Linked DNA regions of Schizosaccharomyces pombe. The protein of the gene in region 3 interacts with the protein of the main gene of each other region in a pairwise test. Each region holds a gene or a part of one and is shown on either strand. Other genes may lie near its edges.

The links.
Region 1: the proteins of cdc5 (region 3) and prp5 interact in binary tests that used the Schizosaccharomyces pombe proteins (3 or more experiments, as listed by UniProt).
Region 2: the proteins of cdc5 (region 3) and spf38 interact in binary tests that used the Schizosaccharomyces pombe proteins (3 or more experiments, as listed by UniProt).
Region 4: the proteins of cdc5 (region 3) and cwf5 interact in binary tests that used the Schizosaccharomyces pombe proteins (3 or more experiments, as listed by UniProt).

What each region holds. Positions count from the first base shown.
Region 1 is NC_003423.3:1,443,824-1,448,308, reverse strand, and holds prp5 (Prp19 complex WD repeat protein Prp5), read right to left. Parts: upstream 2,218-4,485; 5' UTR 2,198-2,217; coding exon 776-2,197; 3' UTR 574-775; downstream 1-573. Other genes in the region: rps1002 (40S ribosomal protein eS10), read right to left, coding at 1-177, 226-301; nrk1 (nicotinamide riboside kinase), read right to left, coding at 2,636-2,835, 2,922-3,288, 3,463-3,531, 3,634-3,658, 3,713-3,744. UniProt on the Schizosaccharomyces pombe protein: Required for both cell cycle progression at G2/M and pre-mRNA splicing. Interacts genetically with the PRP4 kinase.
Region 2 is NC_003423.3:4,402,606-4,406,756, reverse strand, and holds spf38 (U5 snRNP complex subunit Spf38), read right to left. Parts: upstream 2,328-4,151; 5' UTR 2,197-2,327; coding exon 2,152-2,196; exon of another isoform or gene 2,111-2,151; coding exon 2,006-2,110; exon of another isoform or gene 1,968-2,005; coding exon 1,895-1,967; exon of another isoform or gene 1,846-1,894; coding exon 1,586-1,845; intron 1,541-1,585; coding exon 1,297-1,540; intron 1,236-1,296; coding exon 940-1,235; 3' UTR 871-939; downstream 1-870. Other genes in the region: U1 snRNP-associated protein Usp109, read right to left, coding at 1-730, 770-786; adn2 (transcription factor), read left to right, coding at 3,910-4,151. UniProt on the Schizosaccharomyces pombe protein: Involved in mRNA splicing where it associates with cdc5 and the other cwf proteins as part of the spliceosome.
Region 3 is NC_003424.3:2,692,133-2,697,930, reverse strand, and holds cdc5 (splicing factor Cdc5), read right to left. Parts: upstream 3,233-5,798; 5' UTR 3,174-3,232; coding exon 3,155-3,173; exon of another isoform or gene 3,115-3,154; coding exon 3,095-3,114; exon of another isoform or gene 3,038-3,094; intron 3,029-3,037; coding exon 3,014-3,028; exon of another isoform or gene 2,950-3,013; coding exon 2,830-2,949; exon of another isoform or gene 2,761-2,829; coding exon 2,312-2,760; exon of another isoform or gene 2,248-2,311; coding exon 597-2,247; 3' UTR 514-596; downstream 1-513. Other genes in the region: SPOM_SPAC644.13C (Rab GTPase-binding protein), read left to right, coding at 1-513; [pyruvate dehydrogenase (acetyl-transferring)] kinase Pkp1, read left to right, coding at 4,402-4,495, 4,579-4,745, 4,825-5,697, 5,757-5,798. UniProt on the Schizosaccharomyces pombe protein: Involved in mRNA splicing and cell cycle control.
Region 4 is NC_003421.2:1,185,325-1,189,600, forward strand, and holds cwf5 (Prp19 complex subunit, RNA-binding Cwf5), read right to left. Parts: upstream 2,299-4,276; 5' UTR 2,245-2,298; coding exon 1,969-2,244; intron 1,918-1,968; coding exon 1,561-1,917; intron 1,501-1,560; coding exon 1,069-1,500; downstream 1-1,068. Other genes in the region: coa4 (respiratory chain complex assembly protein), read right to left, coding at 564-647, 694-843; Ski complex RNA helicase Ski2, read right to left, coding at 2,411-4,276.

The DNA.
Region 1 (4,485 bases), on a different chromosome or scaffold from region 3:
CAGCGGGAAGGTGCAAATACTCACGCAAGTATTCAACACCCTCGTTGGTCAAGGTGTAGTAAAACCATCCCCAATTGTAGCGGGTCTTAAGATAGCCGCGAGAATCCAAGGATTGACAAGCCTTAATGACTTGCAAGTTGGGGACACCAACTTCGGGGTGCTTGGGGAGGTTGAAATCTACGCTTGTTAGTTAAACCTTGGTCTACGACGTTTTTTAGACATTACCCTTCTTAGCAACGAGGACACCTTGTTGGAACAAAGCTTGATGAATGGCCTTGCGGTTCTCCTTGGGAATAAGCATTTTGTGAGGAATTTGCACGCTGCAACTTGTCGTTTCTGTGTTGAGGTCTACACAGTGACTGTTTTTTTAAAGCACATTTAGGGTAGGGTATGGTCTTTTAAAGAGATAAGGAATTTTGTTACAATCCGTTAATGGGTCTTTTTCCAAGAAGTAAACAATGGAACCTTGAAAACGTTAAGGCTAATAGGAAAGCAAATCTATGACTATGGAATAAAGCACAAGTTCATTACAACAGATTAAAAAATTTTCTTTAAGAAAGCAACAATAATAATCTATAGTTTTCTTATTTATGCACTCCAAAACATCAAGCATGAGAAAATTACTATTTAGAAACAAGCCAATATTTTATCATTGTTTACCGCCTACCAAAAGATGACATTAAATAGTAGATTCAAAAATTGGAATCTCATATCTAGCAATAACATACATATCATAACTATCCTCTCAATCTTAATCTTGGAAGTCGATGCCCTATTAATATCGCCGACGAAGATTTGATGGTGTCCATGGCAAATTGGGATGTGTTTCAGGTGTGGCATTGTCCACTTGTTTGTATATCTTTACGCTTTTATCAGCCTCACAAGTAATTAGACGCAAACCGGTTTTATCAAAAGAACTAGCAAAGATTCCAGCTTCGCTATCCAATGAACCAGGTTGAACAACAGATTGAAGCTCTTGATATTTGTGACCAGACTTCCAATCCCAAAAGCACATGCTTCCATTATCAGCACCAGAAAACATAACATTATCTGAGTTTATTGAAAGAGTATTAACGATTGCATTATGTCCTTCAAAATTACCCATAAATGCGCCTTCAGGGAATTTCCAATGTTTGATATTGTCGGACGAGCCACTGGCAAAAGTAAATTCATCTGGATGCAAAGACAGGGCACGAACAGTTTTTTTGTGATGTGTCAAGGTCGTCAAGGTTTTCCCAGCTGCTAAATCCCATAATCTGATAGTAGAATCCATGGAACCCGTGACTACTTGAGGATCGAATTCTTGAACGGCTAAAGAAGCAACAGTGGATTTGTGGCCCGATAAAACATGGACATTTTGGCGAGTGCGCATATCCCAAACACGAGCGACTGCATCACGACCAGCGGTAACAAGGACGTCAAGTGTTGGATGGAGTTTTAAGGCATAGACTCCGGAAAGATGCCCGTGATAATGGCGGATCACTTTATTAGTTTCGAGGTCCCAGCATTTTACCATTTTGTCTTCACCACAGGAAAATAAATATGGATGACGGGGAGATACTGCTAATCCTCGCACAGTGGCGATATGCCCAGTCAATGTTAGCTTAAGTACTCCAGACGCTAAGTCCCATATTTTGATGGTGCGGTCCCCAGCACCCGTGCAAAACCATTGATTACCGGGTTCAACATCTACGCATCGAACCCAACCCAAATGACCACTAATAACACGCATAAGAGTCCATGGAGCATGCCATTCAGGGCGAATCTGTTCGGCAAGAGTGCGCTTTACGAGAGAAGCCTGGGATTCTCCGGCAATTCTATGTGCTGCTTCAGGAACTCCTTTAATTTTTTCTAAAGATTGCATGGAAACCTGCCCTGCTATTTTCTTATTAGGATCTGAAAACTTGGTGATCACTTGGGAGGAAGGGTTTTCACTGTCTGCTCTAACCGTCAAAGCATTACTACCAATAGTGTCTTCTTCGTAATGTCGGTTCTTCCGTTTTCCAACAGTTCCTCCAAGAACAGAACCATATTCTAAATGTTCTTTGTATGTTCTTTTGAGATTTTGAGCTACAGTATCGTCAAAACTGGTAACTGACCCAAACTCGGCTCCAAAAAGAGTTTTTGATGTTCTAAGACTATTTGTAGTCAAAGAAAGTACATCTGTATCATCCGATATGTTTTTTGCTTCTGTCATAAATCTGTTAAATTTTTGGTAGAGGATTTGTAGGTAGATGGCAGTTGGACTGACTTATTTGAAGCATCATAATCCACGAACATTAGCGAACGAGAAATATTAAGTACTAATATTTGAGAATAAAGTAGCTTACAAATGAATTGTCAAAATAAAAAAAGGGATGGTTATCAAGTAATAAAAGTTTGTAATATATATACATTTATTAAACGGTCTAGTTACGGATTATTAATAACATGATGTTCTAAAAGCGATAGTAGCAATAAATATATGGAGAGGAGGAAATGATGGAAAGTAATTAATTAACCCTGAATTTAAAAAGTAAATCATGCACAGGTAGTCTTGTCTAAAAAGAAAAAAAAGAAGCGGTAGAGAGGATTTGTGTATAAGTCAGGTAGTACTCAGAAAATACAAGTCGAAGAAAAGATAGATCAAAACGGATCATTGTAAAGCATTCAAAATTGAATTAATGGCCCATTGGACGTTATCTCTCACAGACATTTTACTAGAAGGGCTTAACTGTATACGCTTATCAAGCAATTTCCCTGTCACATCGCCATTGACAAACAAATGGGAATGACCATGTACATAGCCAGGCCAAACATAATTTTCGAAATAATGTGGGGGGTCTTGCCAAAATCCTGGAACAATTTGGAGTTAGCCTTAACTGAAAGGTACAACGATTAAACACAGGTGTTATGTTTTATCTGGATAGTTGAATTCTTACCTTCCAACGTTATATAACCAGTACGGGCTTCTCTACGACGCTTAAGCGTATCAAAATCGGTCACCAGCATCAGTCGAATATCAAATGCGTTTATAAGGTCTTCATTAACGTACATCATAAATCCGTCTACGAAAACGAGATGCTGTTCCAAAGTTGGAATGGCCGGTGCCTTGAATTCTTTAATTATATCAGCGTATTCTATTAGGGCTTCAGGAGCAACATTTTTATTTTCCCTATTTCGAAGGTGAGTAGGTAACACGCCATGATCACGGATATAATGCAAATTTTCAAGGAAAGCGTCTAAATTCAACGACTCTTGGCAATCCCAATCGGCAATGCCGTTTTTGACTGGTATCTCAGCATCAGTCTACAAAACAAACGAGTTAGTATATCAATAGGTGCTTTGGCACTACATAAAAACACAGTGTTTGCTTCATCGATAAGATTCAACCATCGGTTTTTAAAACGAGGGTACGATTTATTCTATGACACTTGCAAAATTCGCACGACTAGGCAAATAGACGAAATAATCTAAACGAACCTTGTAAAAATCATCTTCATGAACGAGAGAAGATCCTTCAAAAATGGCATGTAAAAGCTGGCATAGAGTCTGTCAAAACAAGAAAGAGAAATTGGTTAGTACTTCATTTTTTTTTTATTTTGGAGTTTTTGATTTTATTTTATTCTTTCTTATTAATCAAAATTATCATACCGATTTTCCACTACAAGAGGCACCACTAATTTTTTCTTGTTAATAAAAATTCATTAAAACAATTGCCTGTAGAACTTACCTAACCCCAACAATGATAGTTTTCCGAGTCATTCTAATGATAATATGGAAAAATGAAGGTAAAAATTGAGACAAGAAGCCTGGACAGAAGCTGGATACTGGAATTCGGTCTGTTATATTTGCACAACACAATTAATTAATTACCAGCCAAAAGCTGTAAGACAGGTTAACCGAATTTTAAAAAGAATTTGGATTTAAACAAAGCGCCTAGTATCTTAAATCAAGCTCGATGATTATTTGTTATGGAAATAAACGAGAATTTTAAAAAGATATGTGGTAAAGAAGCCGAATCCACAAAATTTTATAACAACCAACAAAACTTTTAGATATACAAGAACAAGTAAAAGATCACTTATAACGATTTCGCAAGTATAAGAAAATGGAAAAAGAAAGGAGTATACAAATTCTTTACGGTATAAATGGAGGATTTGAAAGATAATTTAAATTCACCAAATATTAACGCTTTCGAATACGTATAAGAATTTTTATATGGCAAATATGCCCGGTAAAGATTAATGGTGTTTTGAGTTATTGATCGTTTAAAACAAGAGTGAAATAGGAGGAAGGCTGGAGTTGGTAGTATGAAGATATGGTTAGTAGTATAATCAGTCAATAATACAAGGCTTTGGATGATAGCAATATACTAATCCGCTCCCGTCATGTATCCTTTACGAAAAGATAGGGTAGATAATAAGAGTAAAAAATACAATTTTTGTTTAAAATATATATATTTTTTGATTAGATAAAAAAAAGTGGTTCACTTTTTTTATTTAT
Region 2 (4,151 bases), on a different chromosome or scaffold from region 3:
ACCATGCAAAGGGAAATTGTTCATTTCGTTAATTGCCTGCTCAGCAAAATATCGTTGAGCAAAGACTATGCGTCCACTATTATTATTGACTTGAGTGTATAAAATCTCACCAAAGTGGAGGAAATATGATCGTAGCTCTTGTGTCGTTATATTTTCGGGGAGTTGGTGAACATAAACTGCTGTATTGTTTGGATCAGTAAATTGATTTAGTGGTTGAGGTGTACCATAAAACCCAGGCGAACTTAAGTAAGTATTTTTATCGGATTTGACGGAATGAACTAATATAGATCTTTTTAAACAAAAGGCACCCTGCATCTCTACCTGCGCGTTTTGTATATCACTTTCATTAGCTAACCATATGAAAGCAATGCTAGTTGAAGTCCCGTCAACACAACGTAGAACACGAGCAGAAATAAAGTTATAACGTTGAAACAAGTATTTTATATCATTTTCAGACACTTCTGGATCAATGTTACTAATGAAAAGCATATAGTAACTAGGTTTTTGCCATTCAGGAACCACATCTAAAGAGATCGGGTTCCCAGATATTAATCGTTGAGTAGATTGCCTTTCTAAAGCATTCCTAGCAGCATCTTGACTCTCAAATTCAATGCAGCAAGTTTTTAAAATAGCTCCCGACTCGCCATCTTCATAATAGTTTACTTTTCTAACATTTTCAAAAATTGCTCGAATATAGTCCTCATTCATCCATTCTTCTAAGTTATTTAACCTGTTTAATTAGAAATAAGATTAGATGATGTATCATTACCATAAAGATGTACTCATAACGCATATAATTTGATAATTAATCGAAATCTAAGAAACTTGTAGTTATAGGAATTATAACAGGCTTGACAACTAAGATCGTCAAATAATAAGTTCTACAGAAAATTTTAATAGTATTTAATGTTTATTGAAAAATTATTCATGAAATAAAAATTAATTCAATTCCCCAAGAAATATTGTTCGATCTGAGGAACATGAAAGAATGATGTCCTGATGTGGATGAAAGTCAACGTGATTTACTGAACCCTCATGTCCGGGTAATACATAACGTAAATCGCCTGTGGCTGACCAAACATATACGTTTTTATCAGAGCTACCAGCACCAACGAATCGTGAATTACGACTCCAGGCAACACCTAACAAATTATGCTCCTGTCCGTGAATAGCTCCTTCAAAAATTTGCAACTGTCGTTGAGCAGAAGCAAAAGGTTTTACATCAAATATTCGAACTATAAATTAAAATAGCATTAGTACAAAGGTTGATCAAACACCCAAAAAAAATTAGCATACCCGTGTTGTCCATAGAATTAGAAAGTAAGCTAGATCCATCTTTAGATATAGCCAAACTAGTAATGATATCTTTATGCCCTTTCAGAACATGCGAGCAGTGATTGTTTCGTAAATCCCAGATTTTAATAGCTCCGTCAATACCACCGATAAAAACTTGGGTTCCTTGCTGCGCTATTGCGACAGCCGTTAAGGGATATTTTTCTTCTATTGTTTTTATGCAGTCTTTTGACCGCGAGTCCCATACCTTAAATTTAGTAACTATTCCATATTTTAATAACAATATCCATACCTTCATAGTACAATCATCACTTACAGAAGTCAGAAGTTCGGAACCAACTTTTAAAACGTCTAAAGCATTCACCACGCCAGCGTGGCCTTTATGCTTCCGGATTTTTTGACCAGAGACAGCGTCCCAAGACATGAGGTGTGTATCGGAGGAAGAACAGTAAACTACGCGTGAATCCCTGCTCCACTGTAAATCAGTTATGGCTCCCTTGCAGCCATTTAATACTCCGTAGTTTTTAACGTCACCAAACACATTCCAAAGAACTAAACCACAGTTATTATAAATCAACATTTTAATTACAGCTGCACTTACGTATCTGTCTATCCATACCGCCAGAAGCAAAGTATGATCCAGAAGGATCGAACCTGGCGACTAAAACTTCAGCCTAAAGCGTTAGTATGATTTATTTCAATACAACCATACCGTATGCCCAAACATCTGTAGGTTTGGAACATTGAGATCAGATGTTCGTTGCAATACAGAACCCTCCGTTATTAAGCTAGAATCTTGGATTCTAATTCTTTTAACCTATTTATATTAGTGCATGTTTTTTTAGCAATCGAACATACTAAATGTCCATTAGTCGCACTCTCCGATTCCTTTCGTTTATCCATTTCCAGTTTACTATATATAATAACTGCAATTTCTGATTGACAGTTTTCAGAATTAGAACGTAAAATGAATAGCAGGGACGGGAGTGGAAAATATATAAAACGGATCGACAATCGTCGCAGGGGTTTCTGTCACAACCAAAATACCAATAAATCGGACTTTTCTTTGGTGTTCAAATAACGAGGAATGATGAGCTCATTCCTATAAACAGGACTTAAAGTAGAATTTATATGAACAACATTTTGATTACAGGCAAAATCCCTAAAAATTTACCCTTCTCATGGAAGCCATTTAAAATTCGTTTAAACAGTATAAATAAATTGTAAGAAATATCTATTCCGTATACTATATACAGACCTTGTTTGTGCTTGAGGAAAAACACTAGTATCAATTAATGTCTTATAATATTTAACGAGCGGCTTTAATATCTAGTCTATCTCGATTTTACCACCATCAAAAACACTTGAGAAGCATTTTGCCATTAGCTAAAGATGCGTAATCACATTTTTTTTGGGTATAGTTATTAACAAATTTTTCTACTTAAAAATTGTATGTACGGTTTTCTGGGCTGAATTGTCTATTCTAGTCGCCTCAAAAATTGAAATATAAACAACGAGATAATCACTGATTAGGTATAACCGCATACAAAATTTCATAAACTTTCTCCCGTCGAATATATTTGTACTTTAAGAAATTAATTTTTGATTAATATCAAAATCCATAATTCTACAGGGAATCTAGCATGGCAATAATAAAGGATTATCCAGTAGATAGTAGTTCTAAAGCCGGATTATAGCATTTGCAATGAAAGAGAGAAACTAAATTTTCTACTTGATAAAAAATGAATTATAGAAAACTAAAATGTGGAATATGTGAAACTAAACAAATTTACGCAAAGCTTCCAATCTTCATGTAAGTACTTTCTAAAAACTTGTAGTGCCAAAATTAAGCATCTTGCTTGATTTACTGAAAAACACAATTTGCAACTAGTTTTCGAATAGTGAACACATTCCAAAATCTTTACTACTAAAAGCATTTCTAACAACTTTAGAAAATGATAATATGAGTTCCAGTGCTTAGTATTTACATCGCTAACTTATGTAAAAAGCTGTAGATATGTATATTTTCCAAGGCAAGGTAAATAAAACAAGAATAATTGATACTATCTACATAATTACAGCATTCTTACAAAAAACTGCGGCTAATAGTATTCTTAATTCATTATGATGTTTTTACGGATGAAGAAATATCAATTTACATTTACTTTCTAAACCCACCTATCCCTTAATTCCACAGTTTTCAGTTAGTAAGTTTGCATATATAAAATCTGAAATTACCACTGGTTGATTCATTGAAAGTATATCATCTTAGAACCATATTTTAATATAGCCCATTTTAGATAATTCAAATCCGAATATATACATAATAACTATTATTAAAAATGTTTTTAGAGCATGACTTGCCTTGGAAAATAAGAAACCTCTATAGAGTTTTACTCTTCAAGGGTTTTGATTTACTCTGTAACTAAATTCAAACATAACATTTATGATTTTATGATTTTCAGTAATTGATAGAAAACTAAAATGAAAATATGATATACAAAATGTTGCGGTAGTATAGCGTGCGCAGATCTTTAAAATTATATATCGCCAGCGTGCATCGTTGTAGATCCATATTCTCGTTCGCAACACCTAACTTCTGCACATTTCTAGTTTATGGCTGATCCAGGTTTAAGGTCCGGCGTCGGATTGCCAAGCCAGCAAGGACAGAAACATGATTTACAAAAAGATCAAAAACAACCGCACGTAAATAATGCCGATAGGACCACACAATCCTTACTGAATTCGTACATATATGATTATTTAATCAAGAAGGATTATTGTGAGGCAGCCCGAGCTTTTGGCCGTGAAGCACAAGTACAAACGCTCGTCAGAAGTCAAGAAGAAACCAATTCCTT
Region 3 (5,798 bases):
TCTCTGGACGAACCCATTCGTGTTACATTATTTAATGAATTTAGAGCTATTGGTGAAAAACTCGTCTATGTTTTGTATCCCAAAAATGCTCAAGTACTACGCGACTGGGACTTGTGGGGTCCTTTGATTTTTTCCCTCGTAATTGCTTTAGCACTTGCCTTGTCTACTGACAAGATTGAACGAGAATCTGTTTTTACAGTCGTTGTCGCGCTCATATGGTTTGGGGAAGCGGTTTGTTCTTTAAATATAAAATTACTAGGGGCCAACATTAGCATTTTTCAATCTATGTGTATATTGGGGTACTCCTCTTTCCCTTTAATGATTGCTTCTATAGTTTGTGCATTCGTTCCCTTAATATTTATACGCATACCTGTGATTGTTGCAATGTATGCCTGGACATTGTTCGCTGCTATGGGTGTTTTACAAAATTCTAATCTATCCAACAAAAAATTGTTGGCAGTATACCCTTTATTCCTTTTCTACTTTTCTCTAGCTTGGATTATCTTTTTATAAAACTTTCGTTTTATTTCAGGCATGATAATATACACTATGAATGATAAGCTATGACAATTATTTAAAACAAAGTGAAGTGAAGTTTAATTTTGTCCAGTAACCCTAGCATAATCTTGTTGAGCATACGCCTCGATTTGTTGCATTTTGCTTAGCTCTATTTCAGCTGCTTCAAGCCTATTAGGTAGAGCTAATCGCTCCTGATTGTATAGAAATTCGTAGCACGTTAAATTTTTCCTTTCTGTTTGCAAAGCCTTCCAAGCATGCGAGATTTTCTTTATCAAAAAATTACGTTGCTCATATGAAGATCTAACCAAATCATAAACCCGATTTTCCAACTTGTTACATTCCAATGCTTTCTTAGCTAAATCTCGTTGAATGTCGTTCGTATAAAACTTTTCAGCGGCTTCAACGTCTTCATCGTCTTCCTCGTAGATTACCAAGCCTGGCAACAAACTTGAGGTGTTGTGAAGTGCACTGTACGTTTCCAAAAATTCCTTCTCGAATTGGATATAATCGTCACTTTCTAGTTGCCCTATCTCTTTCTTTAGTAACAATCTACACCTCTCAATTTCTTCATTTGACAAATCAGGCACTTTGTTAGCCGTTCCTTTCACTTTTGAATTTCCAAACGGATAATTAATGGCGTCCGATGAAATCAAAGCAATCATTTCTTTCAATAAAACATTTGCAGTCGGATCTTCATTTTCAAGTGAACGCTTCCATTTTTCTGGTTGTGTTACAGATGGTCGAATCAAATCTCTTTGAATAACCTGTGACCTCCTCGCTTTTGCCAACCTTTCTTTTTCTGCAATACGTTCTTGGATACGACGTTCTCGGTCTGTTGCGTCTTCTTCAAGCACTCCAACAGTAGCTTCAACATCAGTTTCGTCCGCAAATCGAGGCTCCATTAGTTCATAGTCGTTTTTAGGTTTAGGTAGTTTTGCAAGCAATTCTCGCAAAGCCTTCAATCGAATTTTATTTTCTCTTTCACTTGCTAATCGTCCTGCTCGCTCCGCAGCTGCATTAATAGAAAATGTGTCACGTGGTGTTCTAAAAGGAGTTGCTTGAGGTGCTGCCAAAGCTGAGCCATTAGCTGCATGACTGGGAGTAACTCCTGTGTAACCAGTACCACCAGGTTGTAAAGGTATACTTTCCTGACCCAAGAGAGAAGATTGTTCGCGGTTCCTCATCAATTGATTTCTAACTTCAATTGTAACTGAATCCTCTCTTCCCTCAAGTTCACCACTAATTGGTGTTCTCAATGGAGTAGCTCGTTCAATTTGTGTATACTTTCCTAACAAATTAGTACTGTAATTAGCATCTGGAGTCGTATCAGTCATAGCGCGAGCACGATCGCCTGCAAAGCCTAGTTTCACTACTTTATCCAGTTCATCTTGAGACACAGTAGGACTAGGTAAATTCAACTTCCGCCTCTTGCTCATCTGCTCAGCCTCGGCAAGACGTCGCATTTTTTCTTCTTGGGCATCTTTGTTGGGCTTTTTTACTCTATCAATAGGTTTTGGCTTTTCAAAATGACCAAATTTTCGACCTTCGGATTCCATTTCATTATTCCGTATTCCATTTTCAATTATCTTCTGGTCCGCTTCTCGCTTTTCCCGAAAATTTTGCCTGTCCTCTTCTGAGGTATCATAAAAACCAATCGCTGGCTTTTTTTCAAATGGAATAGAAGCGTTATAATCCATTTCATTCTTCTTTCGACGGAAGAGCTTTATACTAAGTTATAGATTAACATAATGAAGGAAAAACAATACAATAAAGTAATAATAATAACACATACTTGATTCCAGCTGCCTTCAATTCTCTTCGCTTTTGGAGATGTGACAATCTTCTAGTTAATTCAAGCTGCTTTTCTCTATCCTTTCGTTTGGCTTTCTTTCCTTGTGTGTTTGCTAAACGTGCACGTGCTTCACTCAACATCTCTTTTTCGTCTTCATCCATGTCAATGGCATCAGGGAGTGCAGGTAGGGTTTCTAAATTGGGCTCTGCTTCGCCAAAACGAAGCCGGGAATTTGGATCGTTAACAGGCGCAGCTGCTTCTGCACCTTCTCCACTGATCAATCCCAACTGCTCGTTCTCTTTCGCTTCCAAATCATCAAGAAGTTTTTGATAGCGTTCTAAACATTGAGTGGCCGTCCGACCTACAATTGGAGCAATCGTCCGCCACTGTGTAGGAAGTAACTTAGCTAAGTGTAATAATTTTTCGTCCTCTTCACGACTCCATTCAGTCTAAATGTGAAGGAAATGTTAACAATAGGTCTTGTCAAATAACAAATAGTGATTACATGTTTAACATACCTTTTTAATGCTTGGATCGATCCATTCATACCAACGAGCTTTACATTGTTTAGGAGTTTTGCGAACCAGCAATGAACTTATGCGGGCCCATTGGTTTTTACCGTATTTACTGACAGCAGCCTAGGAATTTGCGTTAGTATTCTAAATATTAAAGGAAATATGTAACTAATAAATAAAAAAATACCTTTAAGATTTCATCCTGTTTACCAATAAGTTAGTAACAAAAACATTGCGCGTGGTAGAAGGTTAAAATCATAGTCTTTACCTCTGTATTTTTCCAGGCACCTAAATTATGTTAGAAAATACAATAAAAAAAGTTACAAACCTCCTTTTAAAACAACCATTTTCTAAATATTCGCCAAAACCCTGACAATTGTCAGAAAGCGTGGTAATGGAGGTTTGTAGTAACTGTAACAACTTGCGACGAAACAGGGTGGATGGGAAATTGAGGTAAATGTCGAGTGCAGCAGAAAGTGACCAAAATTATATTTTATATTTAAAGTAGTTTTAACTTTTAAAAGAACAGTTTCTTAAACACACTAATAGTCAAACCAAATATTCATTTTATTGTTTTTTCCAGTTTGCTACGTATCACATATTTACCTTAAATTATTTCAATGTAGCACATGTTTCTTTATCGCAAAAATATAATAGCGCAAAATCGTTGGACAACATTAAATTTTTTTGAATATTCCTAACCGTTGAGTATTAAGAAAATATTTGACAAGCAGGATATAGCAATGATCAAATATGTTTATCTTGAAGGTGGATCTACCATACTCTTCCTCTTATTTATGGTTGGTATATCAACAAGTAACTACAAGCATTGCAGTATTATGTGTATCGTTAAGTAACCTAATGACCGCGTATTTGTCAGCAATACTACACTACGTTACATATCACTATATGTCATATGTTGGAATACTAATTAAGATCCGTCTATTGATCATCACGGGTAACTATCCGTCTATATACATAGATACCCGTTGATAGCAACTATTTAGAAATATTATAAATAGAGTTTTAACTGAACTGAGGAACGAGGTTCAGTTATAAGCTATATTAGTGATAGGTAACATTTTATAACCTAGTTAATACAATACCTATACTCAGTTGCTACTCATACGACCTGTGTATTGTAATATAATAGACCACAAGGAAAACTCACCGCAGTTCTACGTATCCTTAAATTAGATAACAAACTGTGTAGCTAGCAGTATTGTGAAAAATAAAATAAGCAATGCAAAAGAAGTATAATGTATCACGCATTTCAATTTTAATGGAATACACTCAAGTTCATTATTTTTATGGGTACTTTGCAAACATATGAATGCATTAGTTTAGCAAAAGCTTTCTTAGATTCTGTGTGAAAACATTAAGAAACTGCTTTATTTGTTTGTTTCTGAAGCTCATCTTTTACTTTCTTTAGGTTATATTTTGCAAATTGCCGCTTTTTTTATGCTCGTCCATGGGTTATCATCTATTTGTTAGACAAACCAACAAAGTTTACGATTGAACAATTGTTCTATTTATCATTATCGAATTTAAAGAAAAACTTAAGGTTTAAAAGAAATGTCAGTGCTCGGGAAAACTTTACAGGAGAAAGTCAATCTCTTGGCTCAATATCCTCAAACAGGGTTGTCTTTAAAGCAATTAGTGTATTTTGGTAAGAATTTTTGCTCAGTTAATTTTTCTTAGATTACTTCATACTAGAAATTTTATACTGACTGCTTAATTTTTATTATGAAGGCAAGAACCCTACACCAGGAACACTTTTCCGGGCTGGCTTGTTTTTGCGAGATGAATTGCCCATTCGCTTGGCTCGGCGCATCCAAGACCTGCAGAATCTTTCACCGATGCTACGAAGTATGAAGCGTATATCTTCCGTAAAGGCTGCTTACGGTAGATCTATGGAGGTAGGTCAAATGTGTATATTTGCATGTTCGATACTTGTCGAAACATAACCAGAAATCAAACAAAGCTAACTGGTTGAAGGAAATTATTGAACTGAAAGGAGTGGAACTACCGAAATGTCTTCCAAAGCACGCTCGATATCACAATGCCCCGAAATGGAGGTCAAGTTTAATGGACTCTGAAATTCTTCATAATCCCTCGCTTGCAAATACTCATTTAGACTCTTCAAAAGGTCGCTATTTTGAAACAGATTTTTCTGACCAAGATAATGGCGTTGATTGTAATTGGCCCGAATCTTTGTTAAAATTTAATAGTAATTTTGCATACCTTTTAAATACCATTCGAACTAGACACGATAACGTTGCAGTCGAAATTGCTTTGGACATACAAGAATACCGAAGGAAGACTAACCAAATTGACAACAGTATTCAAATATTTTTGGATAGGTTTTACATGTCTCGTATTGGAATTCGAATGCTGTTAGGTCAATATATAGCACTTGTCTCTGAACCGCCGCGTGAGAATTACGTTGGTGTGATAAGTACACGTGCAAATATTTATCAAATAATAGAAGGTGCTGCTGAAAATGCCAAGTACATTTGCAGGCTTGCGTACGGATTGTTTGAAGCACCTGAGATTCAAATTATTTGCGATCCTTCACTTGAAATGATGTATGTAGAGTCCCATTTAAATCACGCAGTCTTTGAAATTCTCAAAAACAGTCTTCGTGCAACCGTAGAATTTCATGGTGTAGACAGTGATTTCTTTCCTCCCATAAAGGTCATTGTTGCAAAAGGACAAGAGGATATAACCATCAAAATCTCTGATGAAGGAGGCGGTATATCCCGTCGAAATATCCCTTTAGTTTGGTCATACATGTTTACAACTGCCTCTCCTACATTGACAGATGATCCTCACGATATCGTTAGCGCAAATTCTACTACTCCTATGGCTGTAAGTGAAACATTTTATTATTGATCGTTGAAATATATAATACTAACAAACATGCATAGGGCTTCGGGTTTGGTCTTCCTCTCGCTCGACTTTATACTAGG
Region 4 (4,276 bases), on a different chromosome or scaffold from region 3:
TTGTTTATTGATGGGTAAATTACGCTTATTTACTAAACTGCACACATTTTTTGACAGTTGAATACGTTCACATGTTCAATATGAAAACATTCTAAAGTCAAATTTTTTATTTTTCAACAAATGCAACAATAAAAGCGGGTTATAAGTACAGAACTTTTCCAATATCGATGGATCAGATTTGAAACAGACTTATACAATTTGACAACAACGTTGAATTGTAAAATATGTTTTTGCGTATTTAAACTCCATCCTATCAATTCAATACTAAGTCATAACTTGCTTTACCATACCACATAACACAGAAAAATTGATGCACTATGACAACTGAGACTTCGTAAAATAAATAGCTGAAAACTCTGCAATTGCAGAAAATATTCAAAAAAATTATATCAAATGAGTTAATGATTTGAAACACTGTCTTCGTATTTGAAGAATCCAATTAATTAGTTCCGCATGCATTATATCTTTTTCAATAAAAAGAATTCATCCTAATAACAGCGTACTAAAACTGCCGTAAACAGAATAATTATTTTTTTCACAAAATCACATGATATAGAAACTCATTAAGATAAATTTTTATTTTTTTTGTCTGAGATACTTGGCAAAGGACCATGTCTCTTTTCCCAACATTTCCTGAATTCTTCCATCTAAAAATATCAGAATTAGCTAAATTTTTTAAAGACATATAATTACCTGTTCTGTACATTTCCTCCAATCATGAGTATCCCAATAGCAATCATTCAGTCGAAGGTGCTCTTCTACACATCCACCTTTTTCAAGAGCAGTGTCCCATACATCTTTTTCCTCTTCTTCTCCGTCAGGAGTTTTTTCAATACTATCCATTCAGAAAAAATAAATTGATGCTTTATAATGTAAAAAATATGCAAAACCCAAAGTGTTTTGCTGAGTAAGGTAAAGCAGCAGATATTTGATTATTTAAGGAGAATGACCGAGAGACGACAGAAAAGGTGCAAAGACAAATAAACAAGAAAATACAGAATAAAGCTTGTCAGTATTAGAGAAAATAAGTTAATAGCTACTACAAAGGTTTTAAATGACCAACTGACTTCACCGCGGAATTTGAGATCGGTAACGGGGTTGATTGGGGTCAATGGGTATAGCAACTGCAGGGCTTTTAGTATTTTCATGATCTTCATTTTCAATGTTTTTAATCGTAGATTTTTGGGAGGTTTTATTTCCATGGGATGAACCTCGCATCACAAGGTCTGCCAACTTTGCGTTTCGTACTTCACCCTCAGGTCCTCCAAGAGAACGAGGTTTTCCCCATTGAACTTTCAGTCGAAACCCCTCTATAACAACATTTCCATCGGGAGATGCCGCCGCCGCAATCTCAGCACTAGAACGAGTTTTAAAGTTTACGAATGCGCATTTTGCTCGATGAGAACACACAACTGATTTAAGAGGCCCATATTGTTCAAAATGTTTACGAATTTTATAGTCAGCTAGTTCATCTTCGACGCCAATAAGGAAAAGGGATGCCTAAATGTTAGCACAATACAATGCGCCATCAAGCTTAAATTACTTTTAAGTCGCACTTACGATTTTTTTATCTTTAGGAGGTTCCATATTAATAGACAAGGAAACATTCCCATTAATAATTTTTTTAACCGGAAATAATGGGCGTTCTGCATTTAAAGATGCATCAGATGCTCGAGCCTCCTTTAATATTTGCTTAGACTCAACATCATCTAATTTTCGCTTAGGAGGTCTTGAATGTAATTCTCGTTTTTCTACCTTTTTAACAAGATTTCTTGCAGCGGCGCTTGCTTCCTGGCTATCGTAGGCCGTTTCGCCATTACTTAACAGGCGTTGTTGATTTTGAGCAAAGAATTCGCGATTAATATCGTTAGTGGGACCGCTTTCGACCAGTTTTAGGGCTGCATCCCTCAGGGCAATCTTCATGGAACGTTAGCTGACTATTATAGTTGAATGAAATATTGAACTTACCGGTAAACCAAATTGCAAATCAAGCATGCAACTCTGACAGCAGTTCTTATATCTGGCGCAACCAACACAAATTTGAGTTTTTCCAGGCTTTTGGCCGCGTTCTTTTATCCACCGAAAGATTGTACAAGGTTTTGAGCAAATTTTACATTCTTGTCCAAGTGGCTCCTTAGTCATACGAACATATGAATTGTCGCCCAAACAACGTTCACAGATGCTTGGAAATTCAACATCCTCCCATTCTTGTTTATTTATATCACCTTTTGGTCCATGAGACATATTAGAAACGCAATTCTCTTGCAATGCTAATCTTTGTAAATATGTGGTGGTGTTAAACTTTGCAAGGTGGAATACGAAGACTTTTAAGACAAATAAAATTCGTGAAAAACACATAAAATTTCATATGAATATCATTTAAATCTACAAATATATATAACTATTAAATTCACATATACAGTGAAGGGCAGAAGACTATGTTTCTGCGAATTAGATTTTGACACTCTTCCATCTTCGTATACATGGAAGAATCGCCGACGACACGGGCTGCTCCTCTGCATTCACGTAGAACTTCATCAAGTCTTATAATTGTTCTTACAATCGATCCTTCTAAAACGTCTGTTAAGTCTGTGATACGGTTGAAAGACATCCCTCTAGCCCACTCGTAGCAAACCTCCATTAAACCAAATCGTGGTTGTGATTCAAAATCATTACCTTCATTAAAATACAATACCTGATAGTGCTCTTGAATTTGATTAACTTTCTCGGCCACTGATAGTATCATTTCCTTTCCTTTTTGTAAATGAGGAGAAATTGTGGGTTCAACCTCCGTTTTCTCATCGAAAACAAATGCAGACAACAATGCTATTGTCTCTTCACAAGAAAAGTCCGCCAAACTGTTTTCCAAAATCAACTCTGTTAATACCAATTCACTGGTGGAATTAATTTCACATGCGACTCTTCCCTTTAGTAAAACAGTTCGCTCTGCGTCAATATATCCTAGTTCTTGCAATACTTTTATCCGTTGTTCGTAATCAGGCAGTAACTCTAGGTTTTGATCGGAAATATAGGAAGATAAGTTATCGATATTGCTTTCCAATTCATACTCTTGGTAAGCTAAGGCGAAATGAGTAAGAAAGTTTGGAGTCGAGATAATTGGATTTCCGGATAACTTGTTCTGAAGAAAATTTCGTTTTTCGAAAGCTTCACAAAATTCAAAGTCTCTGACTTTACTCCAATTAACTTCTTCAAAAAGCAGGTCGGAAAACTTTTTAATTGATGCAAATTGTTCACTAAGTTTTCGAAAAGCCCCCCCTCGACGGTCTCTAATTCCACCAGAATCAATTCGAAGGATCGTATTGCAGACTCTTTCAATACCGGAAAGATTGATAAGGCCATACTTGAATTGGTTTGATTCATCAAAGATAGCGTTATCATAAACATCATTGAACGCGTCAGCAAAAGCAAGTAAATCCGATGGTCGTTTGAGGTTGTTCTGTGGATTTAAATATGCAACTTCCAGTGTACAGTCTGAAGCATTGGTTCTAATGGATGTTCCGAGTAGAACTCCAACAGTGCGAGTAAAATCAAGTTGTTGAAAAACAATGACTCTTCCATCTTTAAATATTCTTTTGCCATTTGCAGTAGTTATTGCTCGGAAGTGCATTTTTTTGGTATACTCTTTAAAAGATTCACTGCTCAATAAACAACTTTTAATTTCTTTCAAATCAACATCAGACATTTCCTTCTTTAAAGCCGACAACTTTTCTTCAAAGCTTTTTATTTTTTCCTCGTGCTGAGGCACCAATGTTTGGTTAACGTTTTCACTAAAGCTGCGTTTAATCATGTCTTCAATTCTAAGCGTCTCTACACGTAGGAGGTTAAGTATCATATTATATGTTAAGCGAAATTGACTTATAAGCTTAGACGAAGGCCCCATAATCATGTGTCTCAACGAAGCTGTGTCAGGAAGTTCTGAACGCGATAATATAATAACTGTACCAGTGACATCAAGACCACGGCGTCCAGCGCGTCCAGAGCATTGTGTATACTCTCCGGGAAGAAGATCACGGAAGTTCCGTCCATCATGCTTTTGTGTACCGGAAAAAACCACCGATTTTGCAGGCATATTTACACCCATTGCAAAGGTCTCAGTAGCAAACAGAACCTTCACCAACCCTCTTTGAAAAAGGATTTCTACTATTTCCTTGATGATGGGTAACAGTCCGCCATGATGAACGGCTAAACCACGAGAAAGCATTTCTCGCATACGACCGATTTGAGGAAGCAATCGATCTTCTTTTTTTAATCGAGC